3 linked regions of the Alligator mississippiensis genome follow. The protein of the gene in region 1 interacts with the protein of each later gene in a pairwise test. Links are inferred from orthologs where the notes say so. Each region holds a gene or a part of one and is shown in the gene's direction. Other genes may lie near its edges. The genes, in order: membrane-spanning 4-domains subfamily A member 15-like, PLLP and MALL.

Evidence for each region.
Region 2: the proteins of membrane-spanning 4-domains subfamily A member 15-like (region 1) and PLLP interact in binary tests that used the Homo sapiens proteins (3 or more experiments, as listed by UniProt). The two-hybrid records come from large-scale screens. The link is inferred for Alligator mississippiensis from reciprocal best matches to the Homo sapiens genes MS4A12 and PLLP.
Region 3: the proteins of membrane-spanning 4-domains subfamily A member 15-like (region 1) and MALL interact in binary tests that used the Homo sapiens proteins (3 or more experiments, as listed by UniProt). The two-hybrid records come from large-scale screens. The link is inferred for Alligator mississippiensis from reciprocal best matches to the Homo sapiens genes MS4A12 and MALL.

The regions. Positions count from the first base shown.
Region 1 is NC_081825.1:176,800,766-176,811,096, forward strand, and holds the start of membrane-spanning 4-domains subfamily A member 15-like, read left to right. Parts: upstream 1-6,440; 5' UTR 6,441-6,604; coding exon 6,605-6,694; intron 6,695-8,444; coding exon 8,445-8,564; intron 8,565-9,396; coding exon 9,397-9,453; intron 9,454-10,331. UniProt on the Homo sapiens protein: May be involved in signal transduction as a component of a multimeric receptor complex.
Region 2 is NC_081833.1:37,287,955-37,297,758, reverse strand, and holds the start of PLLP (plasmolipin), read left to right. Parts: upstream 1-5,596; 5' UTR 5,597-5,648; coding exon 5,649-5,786; intron 5,787-9,804. UniProt on the Homo sapiens protein: Main component of the myelin sheath that plays an important role in myelin membrane biogenesis and myelination. Plays an essential function in apical endocytosis. Regulates epithelial development through the regulation of apical endocytosis.
Region 3 is NC_081824.1:237,894,133-237,903,794, forward strand, and holds the start of MALL (MAL-like protein), read left to right. Parts: upstream 1-5,016; 5' UTR 5,017-7,137; coding exon 7,138-7,245; intron 7,246-9,662. Other genes in the region: NPHP1 (nephrocystin-1), read left to right, coding at 387-665.

The DNA.
Region 1 (10,331 bases):
GTCTGTTCTGGAATTAAAACATGGCCAAGGCAATCCCTGCCACTTACTGTTGAGGTGAAGCAATAGCCATTAACTGTGTGAGTTATACCAGGATAGCTCCAGTTTTATATATTGGTATGTAAAAGGGATGTAAATTATAAAACTATACCAGGTATAATTTACATTGCCTGTCCATGCCCTCAGTTTGAATCTGCTTCTAGATCTCAAAAAGGCCATGTGAGTGAAGGAAATTTTCTATGAACACTATTGAAAGATTCTCTCCTCCCTCTTTGGTGGCCAAAAAGGATAAGAAGAAGGCTAAAATATGAAAAACTGTTCTTTTTTGGATGGCTATATCCTAGAAACTCTTATATTATATGAAGGTTGAATGTGGGTGCAGAGCCTCACTGCAATGAATGGAAGGGTGGGTACAGAGATGCAACTGCTAGAGGATTATTCTTTTATCTTGGGTGAAAGATGTAAGGCAAAAAAACCCCACAAAGATCTATTTCTCCCTTCTGGACAGCTCGTCACTTCTGGATCCTTCTCAATTGCAGGTGAAAAAAAAAGACGTACCAATACAATGCCTCTACACTAATGCTTGTAGCATGGGAAATAAGCAGGAGGAACTTGCCCTCTGGATAGCTAGTACAAACACAGACATAGTAGGGCTCACAGAAACCTGGTGGGATTCATCCCATGACTGGGCAGTAAACATTAGGGGCTACAGACTATACAGGCGGGTTAGAACAGGGAGGAAAGTTGGGGGTGTGGTGCTCTATGTCAAAGAGCAATACATGTCCTCAACTAACAGAATGGGGTCAGAGGAGGGGCAGGCTGAAGTGCTCTGGGTCAGAATACAGTGGGGTCATGTGGAAAGGGACTTAACAGTGGGGGTCTACTATAGACCACCCAACCAAGGGGAAGAGCTGGACCATGAATTCTCGGGCCAGCTTGCGGAGGCACTTAAGGCAAAGGATGTAGTCGTCATGGATGATCTAAACTACCCGGACATCTGCTGGGAGGAGCAGTCAGCCACGTTGGACCACTCACGAAAGTCCTTGCTGAGATACAGGACCTCCACCTAACCCAGGAGGTGCACAGTCCCACCAGGGGGAAAGCCCTGCTGGACCTGGTCCTGGTCACTGGCAATGACCTGGTGAGGGGACTCCAGGTTCTTGACCACCTGGGTGACAGCTATCACCGCCTACTGGAATTCACCATCCAGTGCAGGGTGTCAAGGGCCTGAAATAAGGCAGTAGCCCTTGACTTCAAGAGGGCCAACTTCAACGAGTTGAGGAGTTTGGTAGGAGAGGCACTGGGGTCCTGGAGAATTGGGGAACTGGGTGTCTGAGATGAGTGGTCATTCCTTAAGGAGATGATCCTCCGTGCCCAAGAGGTGACAGTCCCAATGAGAATCAAAGTGGGCAAGAGTGCTCAAAAGCCCCCTGGCTCACCAAAGGCATTCAGGAAAGCCAAAAAAGAGGCGTACACCCAGTGGAAGAGAAGGGCTATCACCAAAGAGGAGAATACCTCCATCGCTCGGGCTTGTAGGGGGGCTGTTAGGAAAGCTAAGGCAGATATGGAACTAGGGCTAGCATCAAGGATCAAGGACAACAAAAAGTCCTTTTTTAAATACGTAGGGAGTATGAAGAAAGCACCGGGTAATGTGGGGCCCCTGAAGGATACGCTAGGCAATCTGGTGGTTACACCAGAGGAAAAGGCAGACCTTTTAAACAATTTCTTTGCCTCCATTTTTTTGTGCAGGGACCAGGACTCCCCCACTGAGATTCAGGATGGACTCAGGCATGACTCTGACAGGCCTAGGGTTGGGGAGGACCGAGTTAGGGAACTTCTGGAGGGGCTAGATGTGTTCAAATCAGCAGGTCCAGATGCTCTTCACCCCAGGGTGTTGAGGGAATTGGCAGGGGTTATTGAAGGACCTCTGACATGGCTTTACGAGCACTCGTGGTGCTTTGGCCAGATGCCAGATGACTGGAAGAGGGCCAATGTGGTCCCCATTTTCAAAAAAGGGAGGAGGGAGGACCTGGGCAACTATAGGCCCGTTAGTCTTACTTTGGTCCTGGGGAAGCTCTTTGAGAATATTATCCAGCACATCTGGGAAGGACCGGCTGGAGGGACTATGCTTGGGGCAACCAGCATGGGTTCATTAGAGGCAGGTCCTGTCAGACCAACCAGATTGCCTTCTATGATCAGGTCACAAAATCATTGGATGCAGGTGTCGCGGTGAACGTAGTCTTTCTGGACTTCAGGAAGGCCTTTGACATTGTCTCCCATCCCATTCTCATTAAAAAGCTAGGTGACTGTGGCATTGATGTCTACACAGTCAGATGGGTCGCAAACTGGCTGAGGGACTGCACCCAGGGAGTAGTAGTGGATGGGTCATATTCAACCTAGAGGGATGTGGGCGGTGGGGTCCCCCAGGGCTCGGTCCTTGGGCCCGCACTGTTTAATCTCTTTATTAGCGACTTGGATGAGGGGGTGAAAAGCACACTGTTCAAATTCGCTGACAACACCAAGATCTGGGGCTAGGTGGGCACGCTAGAAGGGAGGGACAGGATGCAGCTGGACCTGGACAGGTTACAGGGGTGGGTGAATGAGAATAGGATGGGATTCAGTACTGACAAGTGTAAGGTCCTGCACTTGGGCAGTAAGAACCAGCAGTATACCTATAGGCCGGGGAACTCCCTTCTCAAAAGCACAGTGGCAGAAAGAGATCTTGGAGTCATTATTGATTCCAAAACGAACATGGGCCGCCAATGTGAGGATGCGGTCAGTAAGGCCAACCGCACCTTGTCATGCATCCACAGATGCATCACAAGCAGGGCCAAGGAGGTGATCCTCTCCCTCTATGCGACACTGGTCAGGCCACAGTTGGAGTACTGCATCCAGTTCTGGGCGACGCACTTTAGGAGGGATGTGGCCAGCATCAAGAGGGTCCAGAGGAGGGCCACTCTCATGATCCGGGGACAGCAGGGCAGACCCTATGAGGAGAGGCTATGGGACCTGAACCTGTTCAGCCTCTACAAGAGAAGGCTGAGAGGGGATCTGGTGGCCATCTACAAACGTACCAAGGGGTACCACTGGAGAATGGGAGAAACCCATGCACCTCCCAGAGTAACAAGGAATAACGGCCATAAGCCATAGATTCATAAGAGTAGATTCAGACTGGACATTAGAAGGCACTACTTCACAGTCAGGGCAGCTAGGATCTGGAACCAGCTTCCAAGGGAAATGGTGCTAGCTCCTACCTTGGGGGTCTTTAAGAGGAGGCTGGATAGTTACCTCGCTGGGGTCATATGAGCCCAGTATTCTCTCCTGCCCAGGGCAGGGGGTCGGACTTGATGATCTACTTAGGTCCCTTCTGACCCTACATCTATAACTCTATGAATCTATGAACAAGATGCCCCCCTGGCCTGTGGAGATTCTGAGAGAAACATTCTTTCCTGACTTCATGCTAAAGGAGTCTCCGTGTAACCAGGTCCTTGAAAACCATGCCCTGGAATATCATAACGCAGGGGCAGGCAATTATTTTGGGCAGAGGGCCGCTTACTGAGTTTTGGCAAGCCATCGAGGGCCTCATAACAGGCAGCCCAGGACAGATTAATATTAATTTTCTAAATTTTTTAGGGGCCCCATGGGCTGGATAGTATGGCCTGGTGGGCCACACCCAGCCCCTGGGCCACATTTTGCTCACCCCTGTCATAACGGATGCAGCTACCTGAAACATTTACTGTGCAGTTGACCAATTAATTGAACAGTAAACATATCAGCGTCTACACGTGTGCCCCTACTAGAGTGCATGAAACTAATGAGCTGTGCAGCAAGGTAATTTTGTAAAATAAGTACTACCCTGTTGTGGAGTTTTTTCATGTGCAGCAGCACACGTGTAGACACTGCCTCAGCTGGCTGAGGAACAGAGGCTCAACGAATGGCTAGCCAGCAGGCAGCCCTGCGCTGAGGCACCCTGCATTTCAGCCAGCCTCTCTGTAGCCTAGAGCTGGGTCAGAGCAGCCCTGGGATGGCAGGCTCACCTGCTCCCCCATCTTCATGTGCCACTCTAGGGCTGGCTGGGGCACAGTGTGCCTCAGCCCAGGGGTTGCATGCCAGCCCCCACCCCTGCAGCACATAGAGCCAGGTCAGAGCATCCCTGAACTGGCAGGCTGACCTCATGAGTCCCCTGCCAGCTGGACTGTCCTGACTGGGCTCCATGTGGTGCATACAAATACATTTCAGAGCAATTTGCTCTGGAGATTTTGCTCCTGGGTACCCATTCAAACAGTGTACTCTGGAGCCAAAAACCTTTGAGCAATAAGCTTTAGAATTTATTGGTGCACACGTAGACGTGCTCACAGGGATCTCACCCCAGAGTGCCAGACACCCAGATCTAACAGACACCCAGGCTCTAGGGCAGCTTGACTTCTCTTCACAATGTGCAGTCACACTGTGCTAACTGTACCTGTGGTTTTTGGCTGCAACCATAGGAAATAGTTGGGGAGGGAGTGAAAAGATGAACAGTGGCCAGATAATAATTAGTATCATTTTAAAAAGAGTGTTTTTTCTCAGTGTACCAATTTTGTGACACACAGCTAATTCATGTACTCCCCATGGTCTATTGTCCTTTCCCATCAATGGCCATAAATACTCATCTCTGGCAATGGTTAAGTAGGTCTCATTTTTTCAGATATACCATATAACAATAACCCATGTCCTTTATGATAACTCATGACTTTTCAGGCGAAGAGCACCCTGTGGATGAATATTGGTTGGGATAAGCATGCTGAGGACGAGAATGGTGATGCATCATGAGGTATTACACCAGCTGTCTGTCCATGACAAGGGTCATAAGCTCTATTGATTGCTGCTACTGTTCCAGGGCTGGAGAATTTTCATCAGTGAGTGCCATAAAATAGGCTCTAAATTCAGAGAGGTGAAGCTATGGGGAAGGTTTAGGAAAGGAGATTGTTAATAATTAGACTTCACATTGCTCTGATCATAGCCAGTTTTAAAATTAGAACAAAGGGCTCAAGATCTGAGCACTGTATCTTTTATGAGGAAATCTCAAGGGGACTGCTATTACCTGGTGAATGCTGGGTTAGGAACAAGTGGTACTGCCATTGTGTCTCTCACTGCTTCCCTCTCCAGCCAACAGCTGGAAATACAGAGCCAAGAGGAAACATTTGATGCTGAAAACCTAGTTCACCAAAGATCCTGTCGGTCTACCAGTCCCACGCTCTTCCCCCAGCTCTGCCCTGAGATCTCACCTGGATTTAGGCCTTCAACTGACTGGAACAGTGATGAATTCTCAAATAAATTTTCAGATATGGGCAACCTGAGATCACTTATTAATTATAATTTTAAATCTGGAACAGGAATAAAATGGGAGTAGAGGTTCAGTTGCTCCTAGATAAGGTACCCTCTATGGCTTCAGTAGGAAGGAAGTTGTGCTTCTAAATAGGCACCAGGTAGCCCATATTTAAATTCTAGTGCAGACACAGAAAGGGCAGCATTGCCGTGGTGGATTACCTCTTAAGGTCCACCTAGGCCAGTATCCTTTTTATCACAATAGTCATCTTTGGAGGAAGGGATAAGAAACGCACAGTAGCAGTTGTAGGATAATCTGTTTCCTAATGTTGGTCTCATTTTGGAGTCCAGTTGTAAGAGATCAGCTTCAGCCTGGAAGTAAGGAGTTGAATATCCCTGCTAGAATGTACTGTCCTCAATGACAGCAACACTGAAAATACTGATTGTCCATATAACTGCTCTGTCCTTTTACAAATGGGGTGAAGTTCTGGACCTCAGACCTTCTATAGCAGGGAGGTTTGCAGAGTAATTATCCCCTGTGAATAAAATCATACATGGGGATCAAAATGAAATTAATTCCCTGCTCCCCTCTCCCCCAACCCCTTGCTGCTACTCCTACCAAAAGAGGTTTTCACTTTTTTTTTGCAGCCTGGGGATCCAGCTGACCCAGTAAATCTGGTTCCTACAACCTCACGAGTCTTCAATCGTGACATACCCCCCATCATGGAGACGGTGGCATTCCTTCTCCTCCCCGCAATCACAAAGTGTTCTTACAGCTCCCGGAGTGTGTGCACTTGTGCAGCTGTCAGGATGATTACATCTAATTGGGCTGAATTGGGTTGGATTGGCTTGCCTGGCAGCAGCCAAAAAATGGGTAGGGGCTCTGTGCAGCTCATTCACCCCCACCCCCATCCCCTGGAGCTGCCTCTTCTCAGCTGCTAAGAAAGCAGTTCTCAAGTGCAATCAAGGGACTGTAGTGAGGACCAAGGAATGATTCCCCACCGCCCCCCTTCAGCCCACCACCCACCCACCCACCCACCCACACACACACACACACACACACACACACACACACAGACATGTCTTTCCCTCCTGTCTGTGTCTTGCAGCATCTCTGACTCTGACATCATTCTCTGCAGCAGCCAATGGCATTGTCCCGCCTCCTTCCCTTCTCACTGCTCTGATGCTGAGCAGCCCTGTCAGTCTTGTGGTCCAGGCTCAGGGGATGGGGGCTGATGCAGCGTAGAGCCCAGCCGCCCAGGACCCTGCAGGCTGGCAATTCATCACCCCAGCTGATCCCATGCAAGAAGGGGGGACGATGCGGCTGGGCAGACGTGCCATAATGTACACTGTGGAGACGGTTCCCAAGGGGAAGAACAGAGTGATGGGGGTGAGTACGGCAGAGCCAGGAGCTGGGACATTGTGTGGAGGGGGCTACATAGGGAATGGGGAGTAGGGAGAATGACTCATCCTGAATTGGCTCCTATAGGTGCCTCCAAAAGCCAGGGAAAAGGGACAAATCTTCCCCTCTGTGCTGTGCTGTGCTGTGCAGGACCTCAGTATCAGAGGATCATATTGCTCCATTCTAGCCTGAAATCTCCTGGGCTACCCTTGTGCTTCCCCTCGCCCTCCTCCCCCCAACCAAGCTTATTGCCTTGGGTGGCAGGGGTTCTGCTGAGACCCTCCATGAGCTCCTCGCCCTCAAGTGCCCGTGACCATCAGCCTGTGTGTGTGCAGGTGGATCTCTGACATCCTGATTCTCTGGCTTGCAAAGCAAGTGAGGAGGCAAGGGCTTGGGTAGCAGAGACCGGTGCTGGCATCTCTTCCAGCCTGTGCCTCTCACACTACTGACAAAACAAGTAATTAGGGATGGGGGTCTGTGTGCACTTAAGGGGTGTGGTTAACATCCAAAGAGCTAGTTCTCATCTCTCCCACCCCATCCACCAAGTGAACATGGGGTTGGGGAAGGGCTCAGGGAGATAGGGCATCTAACTAGCCAGCCAGACAGGATGAGGGTCCCCTTGTACCTCAGCAGGTGTCTTGGCTCTGTTTTGGGTTCCAGCTTCTGCCCTGCTCCCACATTCAGAGGGGGATGGCAGAGGCTGGGAGCCTTGTGTACAACCAAGGCCCTGGTCCTGTTGTAATCTTCCTCTTCTCCCTGGGAGCTCCAGAGGTCTGCAGCCTGCACCCAGCCAGGTAATGCTGAGCGCCTGCAGGTTTGCTAAGCTGATAGGAGTTGGGGATTTAGGTATAGCCTTGGTCCAAGCTATAGCACTGGTGCAGCATGTAAGGGGAAAACCTTTCTTAGAGATTTTCACTGGTTGAGGACACTGTGTGTAGCTCACAGGGATTAATGCTGGGATAAATGGGCGTGAAATGGAAAGCAAGGTCAGGCTGCAGCAGAAGGAGAAATCTTTGCACAAGTCCATTCAAGGGGCCTTTGGTGAGGCTCTTCCAGAGACCACTGAAGAGATCAGAACTCATTACACAGTGATCATCCAGTCCTTGCTGTTGGGCCCTGGCTATAGGCCTGGAAAGGATGGGGCCATGAGTCAAACACTGCTGAGCTCTAACTCACACGTGATAGGGCTGCAGCAAGTCAGCTTGCTGCTCTGCCTCAATATCCTCTTCCCACCAAACAGGGTAGTCACTTAGCCAGCTTTCCTTGGCTAATATTTGTGCTACCAACACATGTTCAGGCTTGAGCCTTGGATCTTCAGAGTTAGACGTGCACCTCTACCACTTGAGCTAAAGGACGCACTATCTCCAGTGCAAGCTGCAACAGCTTCATAAAGAGACTCCTTGCGGATGCTGGTACTGTGTCCCAAGCACTCTGGAAACAGAGGGCTTGAGACCAGCCAGAGTGATGCTCCCAGAATGGCCCTTTTTCTGGGCTTAGTGCACATGAATGTCAGTAAGTGGGTGGAGAAGAGTTAGGAACATCCCCCCCCTGACAGCACCAGAGATGCAACATAGACATACCTATTCTCCTCTTGCATGCGCTACACTGACATTGCTTTGACCATGCAGGTCGACTTCAAAGTCTGCCCATGCCCATGCCCCTTGCATCCTTTTCAGAGCCAGTAAGGTGTGGCCAGGGGTGAATATAATGCACATTATTGCTGCAATTATTCTCTCAGACCATCCAGATCATGACTGGCTTCATGCACATCGGCTTCGGGATCGTCCTGACAACCCTCACAAACGTCTACAGCTCTCTCTTTGTGGTTGGCGAGATCCCATTCTTGGGAGGAGTGTCTGTGAGTAGCATGAATGGAGCTGAATGAATCTGAGTTGGACTGGTTTCCCCTGGCCATCTCGTGCCCTGCCCTCTCCACCTGCCTCCCCCTGAGCTTCCCATCAGCATCCCATCTCTGGTTGGGGTTTGTCTCTTAGATGCATATGCAGAGGACTGGGATGCTAATGGAGCACATGGATTATTAGCTGTATGATGGGAACCAAGGTCACAGATCAAGTCCCTCTGGTCCTTGGTACTGTCCCACCCCAGCACAAAAAGATGCCCTGCCTTAAAGAACTTAATCATGTGTACACAGTAACATTTTGCTAGCATTGCCTCATCAAAAAGATAGCACCCCATAGGCAATTTAGTTTGCCAGAAAGATCCCTGGTACAGATGTGGCTATACTGACAAAAACATTTCCATCAGCTCAGTCTACATTGGCAGAGGTGGTACAGAGGTACACTGGCAGGAAAGTTCCTTCTGTTGGCATGTTCTGTGTCTCCACAAGGGGGCACGGCAGCCTCAGCAGATGCTCCTCTAGTGTAGACAAGCCCTGCGTGATGGATGCTTAATGCCCTGATCCAGATTAATCCTACCCCTCAGCCACACGGCAGGGAAGCTCCTGGTTTTGGGCATCCAGAGAGGTCACTGCTTTTGGGTGGACGGGATCTCTGTCTCCTGCGCTGCCCAAAGGATTCAGACCAGCAGGGAGGAAGATTCCAGTCTCCCCCTCTCCCTGATTTCCATCACAGACACTGGAGATGGGTCCTCAAAAAGGGAAACTGAGCTGATCCATGAAATGAAAGACAGTCACAAGTTAATGCACTGATTGTTTCCTCTTTGCCACTCAGTTCATCATTTCTGGATGCCTCTCAATTGGAGCTGAAAAAAGCCCTACCGAGTGTGCGGTGAGTCCTAAAGGATCTTTGGCCTGAGTTTAATTCTCCTCTGACCAGGCTCAAATCAGAAATCTTGTGCATGCAGGACTAAAGGGACAGGGGGCTGAATTTCAATCTTGTTCCCAGGACAGAGCTGAGGGATGCCTGGGTGGGATCTCTTCAGGGCAGGGCAAGGGTTCACATGAAGCCACTGTTGGTGCAACAGGAAATTCCTCTTCAGTGCATTGGCCAAATTTCAGCCAGAATTTTATGCAATGAAAACATGGGGACTCAGCGAGACTGAAGCATTTATAGATGTGTCTGTTTGCCACATTGTTCAAGCTGGGGGCAAAATAAAAATTCCAAACAGTTTCTTTTTAATATTTTCTAAAAGAAGGATTTCAACTATTTTTTAAAATCCAAAGTGACTTTCATTTTGGATTTTCTTTCAATATTACTTTTAAAATGATAAAAAAAAGAGAACACTTGGAGTGTTGTGGCTTAAACAAAATGTTTTGATCCCCCAGAACAAAATGTTTTCTACTTTTTAATTCACCAAAATGTTTTTTGTTTGTTTGCTTTCTTTTTTTACCTTTTGGAACTCTCAGTGAGCCACAATAGTTGCACAGATCTAGTGTAGTGATTTTATTCACCACTACAGGTGCAGGATGACAAGACAGAGATGTTGCTATCCCTGTAAATTATCCCTGTAATATTGTAATGTTGGGAGATGGCCAGTGCCAATGAGTTCTCTGCAGACTACAGGATTTGTAGCCTCCATCCACTAATCCCATCTCTCAGTCTCAGCTATGTGAAGCGCAATAACCAACCATGTACCAGCCTAATATGGTCTAGAGTGACAGGCACCCAAAGGCCTCCAAACTAGAAAAAACGACATTCATGTACAG
Region 2 (9,804 bases), on another chromosome or scaffold:
AGCAGGCAGGATGCAGGCTCAGGTTCAACACCAGCCCTGGCCGGGGCCCTCTGAATGCACCGGCTCCAGCAGCAGAGGTTCTAGGACTGCACTCACCGGCTGGACCGCCTGGTCATGGTGGCCAAGGTGCACCTGGCAGACACGCGGGCTCAGCGATTGGAGGATGTCACCCACAAGGACACACAGGACCAGTGCAAGGAAGAGAGGGACCAGTGGAGGGATCAGGCAGACCAGGAGTTCGGGGAGAGTCTCCTGGCCCTGGAGGAATGGCATGCTGAGGCCTTAGAACAACAGGCTTCTCCTAGTGGCCAGGCAGTAGAGACCACAGAGGACCACGGAGTACTGGACACCATCCTGGCCCTGGTGGTTGCCTTTGTGCCACCCACTGCTCTGTTCCCAGCTGCAGCCACCTGCCACCCAGCAGCAGACCCCCTGTGGGCCTAGATAGAAGTGCAGTCCTGCCTCCACCAGCCAGGAGCACGTACCCCAGCCCCTGCCACAGATCCCCCACCACCCATCTGGGCTCAGCCCCAATACTCATCCTATCTCCATGCAGTGGTGGAGCAGGAGCTGCCCAGAGCAGGACCAGAACCAAGCACAGGCCCTGCTGGCCCTGGCCAGTGGCTGCAGGAGGAAGAGCCACACATACCAGGTGAGCAGCACCTGCCATCACCCCTGGGTGAGCCCCCTGCCTCTTGGCTTTGCTGCAGCATACACACCCACAGGGGAGCAGCTGGAGACTGGAGTGCTGGGCACCTGTCCCCATGCTCTGCCCCCACCCCACAGCCTCCCCACCCCAGGAGGGCATACACATACCACTTGTAAAATGGGGAAGAGTATGGGGAAGTCTGCTTTATTGGTGGTGGGTAGGATGGGTGGTAGAGGGACTCTGTGGGGGATGGATGGACAGAGTCTGTTGCTGGGGAGGGAGGGAAGAGGGGGGGCCTGTGTTTGTGGAGGGGAATAAACTGCTTTTTGGAGACCTGTCTTCAGTGACTGTGGGGCTGGGAGTAGACGGTGGGTGGGGGTCCGTGGGCAGCCTGGCCAGTGCTGATGGGTGTGGCTCGATCAGGCTGTGGCAGGGACAGCCTGCCACTGTTGCCACCACCGCAGCTGATGCTCCTGGTCCCAGGAGTCCTCTGCCCACTGTGCCTCCTCCACCCAAACCTTGCAAAACAGCTCCCCCCAGGCCTCACAGGTGTTATGCAGCACACAGGCTGCAATGATTTGGGGGGGGGGGGGGGGGGTTGGCCTCAGCAACCTTGAGGCAGGGAAGGAGGGTGCACTAGTGTCCCTTCAGCTGGCCAGAGGTGCACTCCACAAGGGCATGGGTCCGTCCCAGGCACCTGTTGAAGTGTACCTGGCGGGGATCCCACTGGCTGGTGTAGGGCTCCATGAAGCAGGAGAGGAGTCCCTGGTGAGGAGGGGTGGGACCACCACTGCACCCAGCTGGAGGTCTGGCACCCCTGGTGCAAAGCACCCACTCTACACCAGGACTGGCAGGGCGTAGTTGTGGAAGATGCGGGCATCATGGGTACTGCCGGCCCAGCTGGCACTCACATGCATGAAGGCACCATGGTGGTTCACAATGGCTTGGAGCACAACAGAGTAGAAGTCCCGCTGGCTGTAGTAAGGGTGGTTGCCATGGGGCAGGCAGGTGTCAGGGATGTGAGTCCCATCCAGGGCCCGATGCATTGGGGGAAGTCCAGGGCACAGAACCTCACTACCACCACCAGGGGGTTGTGCACCTGGAGCACGGTGTGCCCTAGCATGTCCTGGAGGCCTTGCCCACCCCACAGAGGTGGCCAACTTAGTGGAGGCTGGTGGGCATGGCCAGCTTCAGTAAGTGATGGCCTGCTGTGTGTCTGCAGGGAGGGGCCGCCACATGGCAGTGCCCTGCTGCTCCAGATGCAGGCGGAGCTAGTCCAGGAAGTCTTGGAAGGTGGCCCAGGTCATCCAGAACGCCTCCAGCCACTGCTCATTGTCCCAGGTGGTTTGGACAATGTGCAGCCACCAGTCCTGGCTGGCCGGGCAGGCCCAGAGGTGGTGGGGCTGTAGGCCCAAGAAGGTATGGACAGCCCCAGTGGTGGCATCTAGGAGCACATCATCGGTGTCCCTGCCAGGGACTGGGAAGCAGGATGGGTTCCAGGTGGCAGCTGCGTGGTGGTGGGGGCCTAGAACAGTGGGGTGAGGCTGGCCAGGTGGGTGCTGCACACAGGGAAGCCAGCAGGGCTATAGCAACATGGTGGCGCCATCACAGTTTTTGCCAATGGATGCTATGGTGCTACTGCATTTTGTGTAGACGTGTCCAGTGTTTATTATTACTCACCTTCTGAGATCTCAAGTACAATAGTGACAATAGGGAGCTTTATGAAATGGCCCTTTGTATACAAGTTACAGAATGGCAGCAGGGCAGAGCTTTGTTTGTTCTCAAGGACTTGGTTTTAAAGAGGTGGCTTGACTGGAAGGTTTACATTTTCTAACTCAGAACTGAAGAAGCCTCCAGGTGCAATAGATTGGTTGGGAAGGAGGCTGGTGAGGTAGAGATTGCTGCAGCACTACCACATGGCCCTTTTCTCACTCCCCTTGTGACTCAAAGGTTTCTGCTGAGCAGGTCCTTATCCTAGCGTGTTTGTCATATGGTTACTATTTAAACTTTCATTTCCTCTATGACTCTCCATGGCTGAATTCAGTGAGAGTTTCCCCTGAGTGAGGACTGCAGGATCTATGTCTCCAGGAGTACAGGGACCCTGTCAAAAGTGTGATTTCCTAAACAAGGATCTAGGTACTTTATCTGGGCATCCTGACCCCTTCTCCCCGCTTTTCCCTCACCTTCCCCACTGACAAAAACAATTGAAAAGGGGGAGAAGGGGACTAGTTATACCTTCAACCTACTAACTTTTCTCTGTGAGTCTGCAGGACCTTTACCCCCCTGCACCAGTGACACTGCTATAAGCTGCAAAAAATGACTGCAGAAATGACGAATAATGGTATCTAGCATGCAGATACTTTACTGATGTAGCTAGAGCTAGATAGATGGACAGACAGACAGATGGACTAACAGACACGCAGGGTAAACTGACAGATTAATTTCCCACTCAAAGAGGAATGCAAATAACGGTGAACTAGCCAGTAGTGACCAGTTATCAGGAACTGATCAGCATCACCCAGGAAAGTTAGAAAACTGGCAAGTTAAACCATATTAGCAAATGATTCTATTGTCAGTTTTACTCTATAAGCAATTCAAATGTCTTATGAAAACAACACAAAAAGCTGTAACATCCTTGCCTTACAATTGCTCTTACCCTCCAGCCTTCCATTGGGCCAGCTCTTCAGCTGCTGTAGGCTGGGCTAACTACTAATTTCAACAGAGCTACATTGATTTCCACCAGCTGAGGATCCATTTCAAGCACTTGTGTGGGGGTGAAACAAACAGCATGAGCTGCAACTTTGTCTCAATGCTTTGCAGCACTTTGGGAACACTGCAATGTGGCAAAGGAGCAAGGACCGAAACCTGAACTCTACGCACCAGGTAACTTTGCAGCAGTCAGTTTTTTGCCCAGTGCTTCCACTGCAAGTAACATTAGCAAGATGCTAATTTGGAACAAATATTTCCACATTTTCTGTCCATCCTGACATGAACCGTGTCAAGCCTGATCCTGCTCTGCTTGAAATAAATCTGTGATTTGACATTTACTTGAGTGGTAGTACAAAATCAGCTTTGAAATAATACTAGTACCTCCTCAATATAACCAGAGCTATGGTTTCACATCCCAGTGCTCATGGGAACACCCTTGGAACTGCACATTTTAAAAGTATCTCAGAAACAGAAAGCAACACAATTTCTTTTTCCCAGATCTGCACTTGTGAGTTTCTTTGGCAGTGCTCATCTCCATCACATAGTACTTAGACACTGGTTGTCAACCTTTTTAGAGTCAAGGTACCCCTCAGAAAATGTCAGTTCTTAGTTTTCATTCAGCTTTTGACTACAGAAAAATAATAGAGCAATCCTTCTGTGGCAAAGACCTCAAAAGCACCACAGCAATTCAGAATGGCTGTGAGACTGTAGATTCCTATTTGAAATCTCTGGGATCACCTTGTGTATCATGTTTGCGCACCTAACAGTGCCAACATTGTGTGACGCCCTGTGGCAACCCGGATAAGAAATCTAAACATGCAGGATGTAATAGAGAAGCAGGGCTGGAAGGGACCTACAGAGGTCATCTAGTCCAACCCCCCTGCCTGAGGTAGGATCATCTCTATCCAAACCATCCTATACAAACCCATAATCTAACCTCTTAGTAAAACTATGGTCAGTCCTGACACAATGTAAGGTGTTGTGGCACCCTGGTTGAGAATCATTGGTTTAGGCATTATATCAAACCAGAAAAAGGTCTGACAAACCCTGCCTGGCTTTCCAGCTTTAGGGTGAGAGCCTTCTGACTTACAGGGCTGTGCCTGCGATCAGAAGCAGAGCCAGGACCCCAGAAACCTGGCATTTCCTATGGACCAGAATGGGAAAGTTTCTCAGCAGAAGAGTCTGTAACTATTCTAAGGGGTCAAGTGGCCCTCACTGTGCTGTTCCCACAATATCTGCTCCACCTGTCAATTGCACCAACCACAGGGATGAAGATCTCAGTCCTGCTGGAAGCCAAGGACAGATCTCCCAGGCAGACAGATTGCAGCAAGGGGTCCTGATTCCTCACAGTATCTTGCCCCCTCTCAGGCAAATCGAAGGGATGAACTCGTGCCTTTAAAAATCCCTTCCGAGAGCAGGGATCAGAAGGAAATAGCCTTAATGCTTTGCTGCCTTTGAATGAGGCTTGGACATACAGAGAAACAGCCTGGCCTGGTTGCCAGACAGACCTGAGTTGGATCAGGGTCTGACTAAGGGAAAGATGGACTGGGAGGCAGGGGGAAGCTAGTATCTAGCTACTGGATGCTTAGATGGACACTACTGAGCCTAGGTACCAGAGGCTAGGAAGAGCAATAATTTCAGTGTGGTACTGCTACACAGATGTGGCACAGTGGTTTCCGTGTCAGGCTTAAATGACAGTTAACTTGAATGAGCCACGATGGCTCGAAGACAGCATGTTAACCTGGAGCTGGTCCTTCTGTCGGGCCTGGGCTTTGCAGCAAGCGAGGCTGCTCTCATGCCGATCAAGCTGCCGATCAAGCCGATCTGGTTTGTAGCCAGACAGAGCAAGAGCGGGATCGGGATCGGCATCGGGCCGCTCGGTTGGGATGTGGCTGCTGCCTGGCCGGAAGGACAGAGGAAAAGTGGGAGGTCGGGATCAGACTGACTGGTATCTAGGTACTGGAGGGTTAGATAGATCCCGGCCTGGCTCTGGCTGCTGGAGGGACAGAGCCGGGGAGGCAGGGGCAGACAGACGACACCCTGGGATGTAGCTACGGGAGGGTCAGGCAGACAGACGGACGGAGCCGAGGTAGCCGGAGGGAGGCAGGGCACAGCCGGGGGCCAGAGCCGAGCGGAGCTCAGCCGGAGTCGAGCGGGGCGGGGCGGGGCGGGGCGGGGTCACACGGACCCACAGCGGGCCGCTCCCCGCCGCCCCAGCTCCCGCCCCCGGCGCCGCCCCGAGGCACCACGGAGAGAGCCCCAGCGCAGCGCAGCACAGCCCGGCCGCCGCATGGCCGAGTTCCCCGGCCGCGTGAGCACGCGGACCAGCACACCGGCCAGCGGCGGCGAGGGGCTACCCGGCCTCCGCCTCGCCGCCGACGGCGCCTTCCTGCGCTCCGCGCCCGGGCTCCTCATGCTGCTGCAAACGGTGAGTGCGGCGCCGGCACCTGCCCGGCGGGACCCGCGCCCCGAGCTCCCCCGCCGGCCGCGCCCGGGGCTGGGAGCGGGGCCGGGGCAAGGCGCGCCCCCCCGCCCAGCGCCCGCCCGGGCTCCCACGGGGCAGCTCGCCTCGCCTCGCCTCGCCTCGCCCCGCTCGCACGGGCCGGAGGGGCAGATGGGCAGAGCCCAGCCTGGGCATCAGATACAGCGAGAGCTAGACACGGAACTGGATGGATGGACAGACAAGGGGGCTGATAGACTGGCATCTTCCCCCCCCCCGACAAGCTGATATCTGTCCCTCCCCAGACTGGCATCTGCCCCCATCCCCCCCCCCAATTGACAGCTGTCCCTCCCCAGACAGACTGGCATCTGATGCCCCTCCCCCCTACTGACATCTGCCCCTCTGACAGACGGGCATCTGCCCCCTGCCCCAGACCAGTTGCATGAAAAGAGGTATTTGATTTAGGGTGAGCAAGGACAAACTGCCATGTCTCAGTCATGGTAACTTCAGAGTCGAGTCCTTGAGCCACAGATCCACCCACAGACATCACAGGTCTGTCCGCATTCCTCTCTTTTTCCTTCCTCTGCTTTCTTTTCTCTACTTTGGAGGCAGGGCACTTTACCTCAAAACAGGCTGCGACTTGGGTGAGGTCACAGCACCATTGGGGTCAGTCAGCAGCCAGCTCCTCCCAGCTCTTGATGTTGGTTTTCCTGAGGTCTGGCTGCCTTCAGTGTGTCCTTCTAGTTTTTCCTCTGCCCCCTGTAAGATCTCAGGCCATGACTTAGCTGGGAGTAGAGCACTTGTTTCAGGAGTCCAGTGTCAGGCAGCTGCACACAATGTCCCATCCACTGATGTTGCTTGAGGATCACCAACTCCATGCTGGTAATGTTGGCTTCAGTGAGAAGGCTGGCATCTGTGCCCTGATATTTCCATTTGACGTGGAGGATTTTCCAGAGGCATCATTGGTGATTGGGGGTTGGTTGGTAATGGGGTGGTAATGTAGTGGGCATTTTTGCAAAGGTTGAATAAATGGGATGTGTTGCCTGTTGTGTAATTGATGGAAGAAACACTCTATAAAAGTAAGAGTGGCCTGGTTCTGGTGCTACATCAGCATGATTCAGGAATAACTCCTTTGAAACCAGTGGAGTTTCACTGTTGTGAAACTGTTAGTGAGCATCTACCTACACCGGCATACTCAGGGAAATTAATTTAGGTTAACTAAAGGTGTGAATTTAAAGTGCCAAAATTAAACTGCCTTACAACACTTGGAATTGAAAAGGAGTCAAATTAAGGCCTCTTAATTCTGAATAAAAAGTGTCCACACAAGGGATTGCATGTGATTTAACTAAGTTACTTTACAAGTTAATTCAGATAAACTTTTCTGAGCTTTCCCTGCAGACAATTCCAGGTATAAAAGAATGTAAGACCATGGACTCACAAATGGCAAAGCTCAAGGCATAAACCAAGAGCAAATCACATTGTAACAGTTGCAGGTCTCATCCTGAGTTGTGCCAACAGCAGGAGAGTGGTACCCTGGCTGCCGCCTTCCAGTGCGAAGTGGCTTGAAACTACAGTAAAGTAGGTTTAGGTGGATATCAGAAAAGGCTTCACTGTTGAGGCAGTGGAACAGGCTGCCTGGGGAAGTGGTGGGATCTCTTTCTCTGGAGGCTTTTAAAGAAGAGGCTAGGTAAATATTGGCCAGAGATGATCTAGGACAGTAGTTTTCAACCTGTGGTCCATAGACCCCTGGGGGTCCACAGACTATGTCTAAGGGGTCTGTGAAAGATAACTATGATCAATCAAATACTTGTTTTAGGGCTCTGCAAATGAAAAAAGGTTGAAAACCTACCTAGAGCTAGCTGTGAAGAGCAACAACTGGAAGCCCTGGAGACAGCACATGTATTGGAGGACCATGCTTAGCAGGTGAATGAGGCAGAGCAGCACAATTGGCTTGATTATAAAACAATATTAAAGAGCTGGGACAAGTTTATGTAGGGGATGGGATGACAAAAGGATGAGCTCTGGTTCTACAGTTTGGATGTATGATAGGTGGAGATGTGTTTGTGGTCCCCAGGCTGCAGTGCAGCCTGGAAAGCATTCCATTTTTCCTGTGTCTGGGCTTTGCTGGTTGCCACATGGGGTCAGGAAGGAATGTTTGCCCTTCCTGTTGCTACAGAGGTGAGGGTTTTTTTTTCCCCCTACCTTCCTCAAAAACACCAGGTATTGGCTGTAGCCAAAGCTAGGATTTTGTGTGGGAATGCTCCTGATGGGATTTTAAAAAACCTTGGGCTCCTAGTTAAAGGGTCTTGCTCCTCTGCTGAGCTCTTCTGTTGTGAGGTTCCGATCTAGAAAAACCTTTCCATGTTCTTAGAAATGGCTGCTATCGCATTTCAGTTTTACAGGCTGTTTTATGCTGGTGTGGGCCAACCTTTTTGGCAGGCAAGCCCTGCACCCTTTCCAAGTGCCACTCCAATCCCCTTCCCCTGTGCAGTCTGATGCTCTGCTTTCTGCTCCCTGACCTGTGCTACCTGCCCAATCTCCTGCTCTGCTTTCTTTTCCATGCCCTGTCACTTGGCTGCCTGTCCCACCCCCACATCTGCCACATACCACACACAAAGGCTGCCTGAGCCACTTGTGAAATCCATGCCAAACATTGGCCACCTATTTTACGCTAACACAACAGCATCACTAGCCAGCAACGTATGTAGAAAATTAAATAAAAAAGCTCATTTATGAACTTCTAAACAAGCAAGTACAAACTGACTCAGGCAAGAGGTGCTGCCTGTCATCTGCTGTTGTACATGGGCAAGTCCCACAACATAGTTTGCTGCTGTAAACAGGAAACAATTATTACTGGTAAAGACTGAATGGTTCAGTTTGGCTTTTTTGCCACCCCTTTCTTCTCCCTGAGGCAAGCAGTTATCTACTTTACTTCCCATTAAAGCCATCCCAGCCCAGCCCATGGATTTACTTTGCATGGGGGTGCCTTTATTTTGTTCTACTTCTCTTTATAGAAGTGATGTTTATTATCTTTCTCCATCTCATGAAATCTGGGTCTGCTTTGGACCTTGAAGTTACCAGCACTGCAGAACTATTTGGTTATAATACCTACCATAGCAAGCTGCAGCTACTCCTCAAACTGGGTTTTACCTGTTAAATTCAAGCAGTCCCCAGAGATAGTGTCTTGTTGTTCACAGTAAACTCTGGCATCCAAGCTTATTTGACTGGCTCAGGGTTTTACAAGTCTCCTCACAACTCCATGTAGCAGCCCTAGTGCCAGTCAGTGCATTCCCTCCAGGCATCAGCAGCTGTGGTTCTCTTGGCAGAGCCGACCAGCTGTCCCACCATCTCCTCCTTGCTCATTTGTTCTTGCTCCACTTGTTTTCATGGTTACTGAGATGAAGTCTCAGCTTCCCAACAGTTTCTTGGAGGTCATATCCAGAGCCTTTTTGCAGTCTTGGGAGACCCCAGTAAATCCTATCCTGTTCCTGGTACCCAAGGTAGGTGGCTATAGCAACTAACCCATGCCTGCAAGCCTGGATAACAGCAACTTATGCTTCACAAGGTGACCTCCCAGTACAAGTGCTGTGTTACGTTCTTTGCATTTCCAACATGGTGTGTGTTTTGGTGAGGGCAGAGAAGAGGGGAAAGCTTATCTGAGCCTCCTGTGGGAGCAGGAGTACTGTGTGACCCAGTCCCTGAATGCCTTTTGGTGAATGGCATGAGCACATGGATGAAGAGTGTTGGTGGGTGTTGGTACATATAGGCTGGATCACTTTTCAGGTAGTCCCAACCTTGGAGGACATGTTGCTGCCAAAAGAAGCAAAAGTGCCTTTTCACAAAGGCAAAAGAAAGCCCCGATATATTTTGATGCTGCTTATCAGGGTGATGCCTCTATGTGTCCTGCAGCAGTGGAAGGGAACAGCTGCACATTTGGGAATGGGGGACCAGCCAGTCACTCCTAGCAAAGTTAGAGCTGGACTAGAGCTTTTTCTGCATCTCAAGT
Region 3 (9,662 bases), on another chromosome or scaffold:
AAAAAGAGACTAGATTAGTCAGGCACTATCTGCCTGCTACGAACCCGTGCTGGTTTCCCCTCAGCATAATTTGTCCTGCCAGGCTCTCGCAAATGTGAACCTTGATAATTTTTTCAAAGACTTTGCCAAGGATGGAGGTGAGACTGACTGGCCTATAGTTGCCCGGGTCCTCCTTCCTCCCCTTCTTGAAAATGGGGACCACATTGGCCCTTTTCCAGTCCTCCGAGACTTGGCCCGTGCGCCATGAGCGTTCAAATATTCCCGCCTCTTGTTTTAACACTGGGGATAGTAGTCCATAGGATTACTGTTTTGCTTGGAATATACAGTCTTCTGTAGAAATGCCTTCAAGCATGGAGTACTGACCGCTTTTATATTCTTATTTCTAGAGAGATCAAGAATTTTTGAAGACCGTATTTACCCTGGTGTACCATGACTCTGTCTTCCCTCTTCTCCAGTCTACTTTCCTCCCAAAACATAAATGGGCAGATGAAGAGTCAGAAGCCTCTCGCTGGAAAGTGATTGCTGACTTTTTGAAGCAGACCCGCGAAAATGATGGTGCGCTCTACTCTCTGCTGTCCTCAGAAACTGTTCACAAAGTTTTTGATATTTCAGAGGTAGCATATGATTTTCTAGGAGAGGCAAGGAAAAGTAGTGTATCAGCATGAATGGATATTAAGACAGTAATAGAGTGTGGCATATGCAAAATATATTAAAGGAATGACCTATCTAATCAAAATAAAAGGGTTTTATAGTTTATACAAAGCATATTTTGTAAGTAAATTGTATTAGATTATCTGGACATATAATGACTTTTTTTACAAAGCATATACCAATAGATTAGAATAAAGTGTTTTATCTATTTAACTACATGGTTGATTGTTTTTTAAAAAGCTTCTGATCTGTATTTTTAAACATGGGTACAGTTATCAGTGACATCTATCTACTACTCTTATTGGCTTATGAAGGTGAATACTTTGTTGTACTGACCATAGAGCTCAGCAAACTCTTAAAATGGATGTAACAGTATCTTCTTTAGTTGATTTAGAAGAGCTGTACAACTATTCCTCACTTAACATCATAGTTACGTTCTTGAAAATTGCAACTTTAAGCAAAATGGTGTTAAGCAAATCCAATTACGTCACAAGAGTTACCTACTAGCAGGCGGTGCCAAACAGCCATAACCAAACATTACGTGACTTTAAACATGTATGTTCTCTAATATATCAGTGATGTAATAACGAAACAACCTTAACTGGGATGACGTTAAGTGAGGAGTACCTGTATTTACTTCTCCAGTCCATACTAGTTAGATGGTTATTTAACACAGGCCACCAGTCATAACTAAGACTACATTTTTGTCACAGCAGCCATGGAGGTTTGGAAACCATAACATAGAAACTCAGAATCAGGAGGACCCTGGCATTCTATGGAAGGGAAGAGCACACAGGATCATGGAAGGTGTAATTCAGCCACAGATGTTGGCTGAAAGAATGGGGGCAATAGCCCTCCAAACTACAACTCCTATGAGGCAGTGGTCCAGATAGAGAAATGAGCTCTGGTAAGGTACTGTTTCACTGTTGTCAACATGTAGCAAGCATGCTTTGGCACTTTTCCTTGAATACTGCATTTTCCACACCTCTTCTATGACATTTATTAAAAAGAATTGTGCCAAAATCATAGCCTTAGTCATAACACCCTAGTGGATAAGTAATTATTAAACAAAGAAAATAGCAATGAGTTGTAAGAAAACTAGTTTAGCAAGATATATTATGAATAGAAATAAATATTTGCACATCCCTAGTTAATGAGCAGTGGGATACTCTTGTACTGAGACAATTTTAAATGTTTTTACTTAGGATGTATAGAGAGGGTGGGGTTGTTACATTAGAAGAAGGTGCTTAAAAAGATTAGGAGGAAGTTCAGTTTTCATTATACGCAAGCCCTAACTGCTTAACATCGTTACAATAAGCAGAATAAGCTAGAGTGAACTTACAGTGCACCATCTATTCCACATACGTGCTGTAAATTCACATCTGATCTTACTGCATACTAACTTCCTCATAGAGTCACTTAGGATTCATTGGGTGCATCCACACATGCAGGCACATGCACTTGCAGCAGCTCAAATAGAAGTGGCGCAAGTTTGAACTGGGGCTTTTTGCCTCAGTACATGTGCCCAGAAACACACTTTGGTGTGGGGCAAATTGTGCCACTTGGAACAAACTAACCCTGCTTGGCTCCTGGATCTACATCCAGGAGGAGCTAGAAGCTGGGGCCAGCACCTGTGTTGGCCCCAGCAATATAAAAAGCTGCCCTGGTGAGCAGTTCAGGGCCACTCGCTCTCAGGAGCTTCTGGGGCCCAGCCAATTGGTACCTGAGGACACTACCCCTTGTGCCAGCTGGACTGCTGAAACAGCCATGAGAGTTCCCTGCACCCTCTACCCACTGCAGCAGTCTGGCAGTGGGGACTGCTGCCTGGCTGTGACCTGCTGCCACCTTTGACAGCAAGTAGCTCCAAGGCTGTGGCCCTGCCAGACCTGGATGAGGACTGCATGGCCAATAGAGACATCTGCACCTCTGGGCCAGCTGCCAGCAGACTGTGGTTGCACAGTTGGCCTTTGTGCAGCACTACTGCCATGTGTGCCACCACCTGGTCATCTGGGCAGCTATTTCCTGGAAGATATTCTCAGCGTAATGGCCTGCTTTGAACTGTCAAAGCATGTCCTCCTGATCCCAAGTGGCCAGGAGGTCAACCACCTCCAGCTGGGTCCTAGGTGCCAGTTCTGAGCAGGCTCCTCTGCCTGAGTCCTGCCACTTGCCTCACTAGCAAGAATTCTGGTCTTCCCTATTTAAATCCTGCAAAATCCCTGATAAAAAAAAATCCCAAAGTCACTCTAAAATATCCCAAAATCCATGTTCTCCCACAATTAAAACAAAAGACCACTAGATATATCATATGTGTGTGTGTGTGTGTATATATATATATAGATATATAGATATATACAGAGAGAGAGAGAGAGATCAAATGAGTTGGGTAATGTTTTATTGATATATTTACAATTTTAAAGCAATTTGGAAGCCTGCCAGTGCCTCTATCATCATAATAAAATAAATGCTAAATATCTATACAGTTTTGCATTGACTTTTGGCTTTTTTGTCATAGACAAATCAGAGCTGCCCCTACCCCCTTCACTCACCAAGATGTGCAGCACTGAACAGTGTTGATATGCCAGTGCCCTGCCCTTGCCCCTGACTCTCAACCTACAGCCTACCCCCACTCCATTCCCCTCACTCCTGCCCCACAGGGCCAGGTATGTGGGTGAGGGGTTTGTGGGGGTGGTGTGGGGTTAAGGGGTAGATTGTGGGGGGGCTGTGGGTGTGGGCAGATGTATAAGGAGGGCTGCTCAGAAGGAGTGGGTCCCCTACCCCCCCCACAAGGTGCAGTCCCCCCCCCCCCGTTCCCCCCACATGGCCACAGCTCCTTCACATGGGGCTACAGCCCCTCTGCAGGGCCCACGTGCCCCCAGCCCACCCCCACTTGCTGCCTCACCCAGCCCCAACTCCCTGCTCACTCCTTCCCCCCTGCTTACTTCTCCGGCCCCCTGCTCACTCCCCCATCCCCCAGCTCGCTCCCTTGGCTGGTCCCAGCCCCCTCTCACCCCCGCACCCAGCCCCAGCATCCCCACACTCACCAGTAGTAGCAGCGGCTGTCAGGGCCACTCAGGGCCTCATGGCACAGCCCCCCTGCGCAGTGTGGGGCAGCGGAGGGCAGTGGTTCTCAGCCCCAGTCGCTTGGCACCCGCACTGCCACTGCCACATTGCACAAGTGCAGCCCGGCTCGGTAGGGCACCGCACGGTGCCGCACACTCTCTGACAGCTCAGGATTGCTGGAGCTGTCACCCAGAGCCTGAGCCATGGCGCTTTGCTGAGCCGAGCCGAGTTGTATCCGTGTGATGCAGCAGCGGCAGCACATGTGCCAGGCAGCTGGGACTGAGCCCTGTTGCCCCACACTGACCTGCGGGACAGCTGTGCCATGAGGTGAGCGGGGAGACTGGGTTAGGGTTAGGGTCACCTCCGCCCCACTCCCTCCCCCACCCCACTCAACCCCTACTTACTTGGAAGGAAGCCTGGGTCCCTGCAGCCTGCATGCTGCTTGCCCTGAGCAGGGGCAAGGGCCAGCCATAGAGACACTGTGGCTGACTACCAGAGCATTTCTGTGGAGGACCCAAGTCTCCGGTTGCCTCAGGGCATGATCCGGGACTGTGCCCTGCCCCACTTTTTTTGCCCGGGTTTTATTTTGGTACCTGGATGTCCAGTCCAATCCCTTCCAACGAAGGAAATTTCATACTTTCCCTGGGCAGTTTATTCTACTGTTTGTACTGTCAGAACAGTAGGAAGTTTTGTTCTTAGATTTAATTGACACATGGCGAAAAGCCTTTAGTTGTCTTCGGAGGTTTGGTGGTCAGCTATGGTAGACTTAATTTAATTGTAAAGGAAACCATCACGAAGGATGATTATCAAACATGGGCAGAGGGAAACAGCTAAACTACTGCTAGTTACAAAAGCCGAGTAAACCTTTTATTTGCACATATTTTCGTATTTCTTTCCCTTTAACTGTGTGGTCTCTTTTGGGGAATGCCTTATTAAAGATAGTGTTAAATGACTGTTTCCCCCCAAAAAGATGGTTATGAACAGTCTTGAACTGTCCATGTCCATCCCTGGCTTCCCATGCATTCAGCTGCGACATAGATAGGACCTGTGGTTCTTTCCCAGGCAACCTGGGGTTGAGGTGGCACTTGGCTTCAGGCTGACTGGCAGATTGCCTGCCTCTTCTCCCTGACTGGCACCAGGCCAGCACACATCCCCCAGACTGGGGGGAAGGCAGTAGAGAGGGGAAGACAAGGGGGCAGGGTGAGGGCAGAAAGGGGTATGGTGGAGATTGGAAATGCAGGATAGTGTGGGCAGAGCCTGAACAGGGATGGGGCAGAATGGTGGGACTGCCTCAGACACCCTGAAGTTTCTCCCTCAACTCCATATGCTTATGCCATTGCATCAACATCCCACATCTTTACCAACTCCTGTTATTTGCCCCAGCACCCCACATCATCCACTTTCACTGGAAAGCCCCATGCTCATATACCCTCTGCATTTGCTGGCACTCAGTTACCCTCAGCAGCCCACCTTTTTATCATCCCCAACACATCATCTTCAGCACTTCACACATTCACTTGCGTTTGCATCTGGAAATGAGAAATGCACAATTATTGGCTACCTCTAAAAGTGTAGTTTAAGCAACTATCAAGAAACTATCAGTTTCACACTGGCAGAGAGAGACAGGGACAGAAACTCATTCTCCAGGGCAGCATGAAGCTGCATCAGCTGGAAGACTGTCTTCTTTCTTCCTGCCATCCCCTGCCTCTTTCACTGCACACCTCCCAGCTTCTATAATGAATGCAGTAGGGGTCCTGCAGATAACAGACTTCTTTATTGCCCTGCATGGATTGTTTCCCAGAGCACATCCCTTCTGTTTGCAGAATGATGCAGGAGTCCTATAGAATAAAAAGATGATCAAAAATATTTTGCTCAAGCAGCTTTAGTTCTGGCATTTGCCTGATCTTGCAACCTTAATAACATTCTCCTAACATAGTTCTTGTGTTGGTAATATAATATACTGGGAGGAGGAACCCCCAACACACCTATAGGTTGGGGGTGTCCTTCTCATCAGCTCGGAGGCAGAGAGGGATCTTGAAGTCATAATTGACTCCAAGATGAACATGAGCCAGCAGTGTAACGAGGCCATCAGCAAGGCCAATCGCACCTTGTCGTGCATTAGCAGGTGCATGACTAATAGAACAAAGGAGGTGATGCTCCCCCTCTATGCGGCACTGGTCAGGCTGCAGTTAGAGTACTGTGTCCAGTTTTGGGTGCCACACTTCAAGAGGGGAATCTCGAGAGGGTCCAGAGGAGGGCCACTCGCATGATTAGTGGCCTTCGTGATAGACCCTACGGGGGGAGGTTGAGAAAGCTGAATCTCTACAGCCTTCACAAGAGACGGCTGAGGGGAGATCTTGTGGCCACCTATAAATTTATTAGGGGGGGTCAACGGGGAATAGGGGATGTGCTGTTTACTAAGGCACCCCAGGGAGTGACTAGGAATAATGGGTGTAAACTAGTTGAGAGTGGATTTAGGTTAGATATTAGGAAGAAACTTTTCACAGTAAGGGTGGCCAGGATCTGGAATGGGCTTCCAAGAGAGGTGGTGCTATCACCTAGCTTGGAGGACTTCAAGAGGAGGCTAGATAGTCACCTGGCTGGGGTCATCTGACCTCGGTCCTCTTTCCTGCCAGGGACAGGGAATCAGACACGATAATCCATTGTGGTCCCTTCCGACTCTACAATCTCTCTCTCTCTCTCTCTCTATATATATATATGAGTTAAGCAATATCTAAGGTGTGGAGAGTTTGGTAAGGATGTTATATAGGGAGTTAGCTAACAGCCTGCATGTATATGGGTTGTAAACACCAAAGGAACAGAATTATTTAGGATGGCACAAGGCAGCAGATCAGGGTGAAGCTCTCTCAATGGGAAGGCCCAAAGCCCGCAGTAGAGTTGGTGTCACTGAGCATACACTACAGTAGGGTATGTCCCTGCCCTGGCACAGGGATGGGTTGGGTTTCCTGATAGGGTTTTTTCTTCTCTAATTTTGATTGCTCTTTTATCAGGGTCTGTTGAATCTCTTGTTTTGTTTTGTTTTGTTTTGTTTTGTTTTGTTTTGTTTTGTTTTGGGTATTAGTTAAATGCTACCATGACAAGTCCAGTTTGCAAGGGAGCTCCTATGGCTCTGGCACAAAAATATTGCAATATGTGTGCACACACCCAAGTTTTCATTCATTTTTCAAAAATGGCTCTTGATCTGCTTGAGCCCTTTATGGCATGATATTTAGCCAGGGAGTAGCTGATGATTCTTCTAGTTGTAATGAGTGGAGAGACCTGCCAGGCTGGGACTGGTTTTACTGATTACGTCCATATGGGTGTGTCAGTGGTTACTCTTTTAAGCTTTGCATATCAGTGGGATTGCACAGATAAATCCAAGTGTAGCGGAGCTGAAACTGTAGCAATTTACGCAGAGAAGAAGAAATGGCACAAAGCTCTCTCCCACCACCTGCCACCCAACCAGAACCTGTCATACCCTCCGGATCAGCTGTGTTTAAAACAATACCATATGCTTTTATCCTACCAGAGCTAGTAAGTACACTGAACTTGGTTTTGATTTGTTTTAAAGGCTATATCAAATTGTTCATAAAGATGGAGTTGGCCCAAAAGGACATCATGATAAAGAGATTTGGGATGTAATTACTTTCTCTTGCAAGTTGCATTTAAATTGTAAAGTCACTCTTTGATTTTGATTCGGTCAAAAATTGTACAGAATGATACAGAAACCTATATAAGGCCTTATAAGGCACTAAAAAACAAAGCTTTTTGTTCTTTTATGCTGCACAAGCTTTCTTTTAATTATTTATTGTCAGTTATTAAAAAATTAAGCTTTGTTAACCATTTTCTTCTGAAGAACTGTATTTTCTCTCTTTTGTATGAAAACTTCCTTAAGGATCAAAGATTGTAAACAGACAGTCAGCTTTTGTAATATGCCAGAGGTCTTAGTTTTTTTGATACTCCTAAGTACAGAGTCCTGTAATGCATTCCAGTGTGATTACTGAGCTTAAGGCAATTGATGTTGTACTTTGATATACAATACAGTAGTTAAAGTCTGTTCACAGTCATTACCTCTGTCACACTGTATCTGCACCACCCATCCAAACCTACATATGCATTTATTTATCTGGCTTATTTGATAATTACAACATCGTATTCACCAATCCAGCAGTTCTGCATAAACTGCCATCCCCAGTACAAACTACTGTTTAGTCTTTATCACGTCACCATTTTAATGGGTTTCATGCTGAATTATAGTGCCAAGAATATGATACTGATTAAATAGCATGTAAATCCCAAAATACGTTTCATTTGATCATGTTAAATCTTTTTTTGAATACTTATTTCTTTATTTTATTTCTTTATTAGATTTATATGCTGCCCTCCCCAGAAAAGGCTCAGGGCTTTTGTGGCTTCCTCTCAGGAAAGGTTGTGTTGTAGACCTTCAATATAGAACAGGGACTGTGTCCATACTTTTAGAAGTATTTTATAAGATCTGAGTTGATAAGAATTTAAAACCACTGTCTATTTATCTGAAATATGAAGGTGGTTACAGCCCAAAACAACTCTAAGACTTTTCCCTAGATTGCCTCACCTTTTTCAATGACGTGTTTTAAGGTATCAGTAAACAAGCAGTGTGTTTTGCCAATTATTTTGCAAACAAAAAAGGTGTTGCCTCTGAAGCTTTTGAACTTCACATGATATATTTTTATGCTTATTTAGAAATGTATGCTCTCTTGAGAACACCTGAGTTCCAGCACCCATTCTTTCTATGGTGCATTCTTTCTATGTAATCGCAGAGTGCCTGCTCTCTCTCTCATTGCTGTGACAGTCACTCAGCTGAAGTCAGTGAGCTGAATTCTTCTCTTGCAAAAGCTTCAAACTGTTATAACACCCATGTAGTTCTGTGTTGTTTTCACAGTTTAAACAGGTGTGAGATCTGAATTGACCCAGTGGAACTGAACTAATGTATTTGAGCTTAAACAGCAGCCCCCATAACATTATTATTGTTTTTATTCTTTATGTACAAGAGGAGCCCATGCAGGCACATCCTGGTACTTCCTTTTGGGCTCTCAATGTATATCCATTCCAATGTAGGAAAACTTCATAATACCACTGTTTCACATGCGTTCAATATTAAATATGATATTGCAGGGCAAGCTAATATTAATGTTGAGAGTTGAAGTAGCCTGTTGCGCTCTGTTGTAAGACCCTATTTTCAGTTTCTTAACTTTGTCAAGCCATTTGGGCTGAAATTTCCATTGCTTGCATCAGCCTGTATTTTTTAATATTTTAGCTGAAAGAATTCTGCTCTTTTCTAGAAAAGGGTTAGGGGAAAATATTTTGTTTGGTCTGTGCTATGAATGGGTGCCACTGTTCTGTTGAGAATCTCTAGCATGCTTGTTTTAAAGCAGCATCTTGAAGTTTAGCCTGGTGATTCCACTGTTGTGAGGAACATTGCTATTACCATGAAAACCTGCCTAAATTGGGCCAAGTTCTGATCCTCTATGACAGATAGTGGGACGTACATGTCTACAATACTGACAGTCAGTGAATCCTCCGCACCTGCCTTCTAGTAACACACCATACTCTCATTCAGAGAAGCTTTATCCTTGGCATGGTGTTTCTGGTGCAACACTTCAAGTAAAGTCCAGCAGTGCTGGCTGTCTACATTTAAAACTATGACTTTTACTATACCAGATAATTTGAGAGCAATTTCAGAGTTAGAATCTCCCCTGCTTGAGGGATCTCATCTGTCTTCTCTGCTTCATAAGCCTCACATGTTAATTATGAAAATTTCTTTGAGATGATTCATTCCTACTCAGTAGCGGCTGGTTAATTTGGCAGCTAAATTGTGCAGAGTCCATCACGGATAATGCTCTGTCCCCTTGCAGTTCTATGCCATCTGCATTGCATGCATGCTGTTAGCATTAGTGAGAGGTCATGTCATG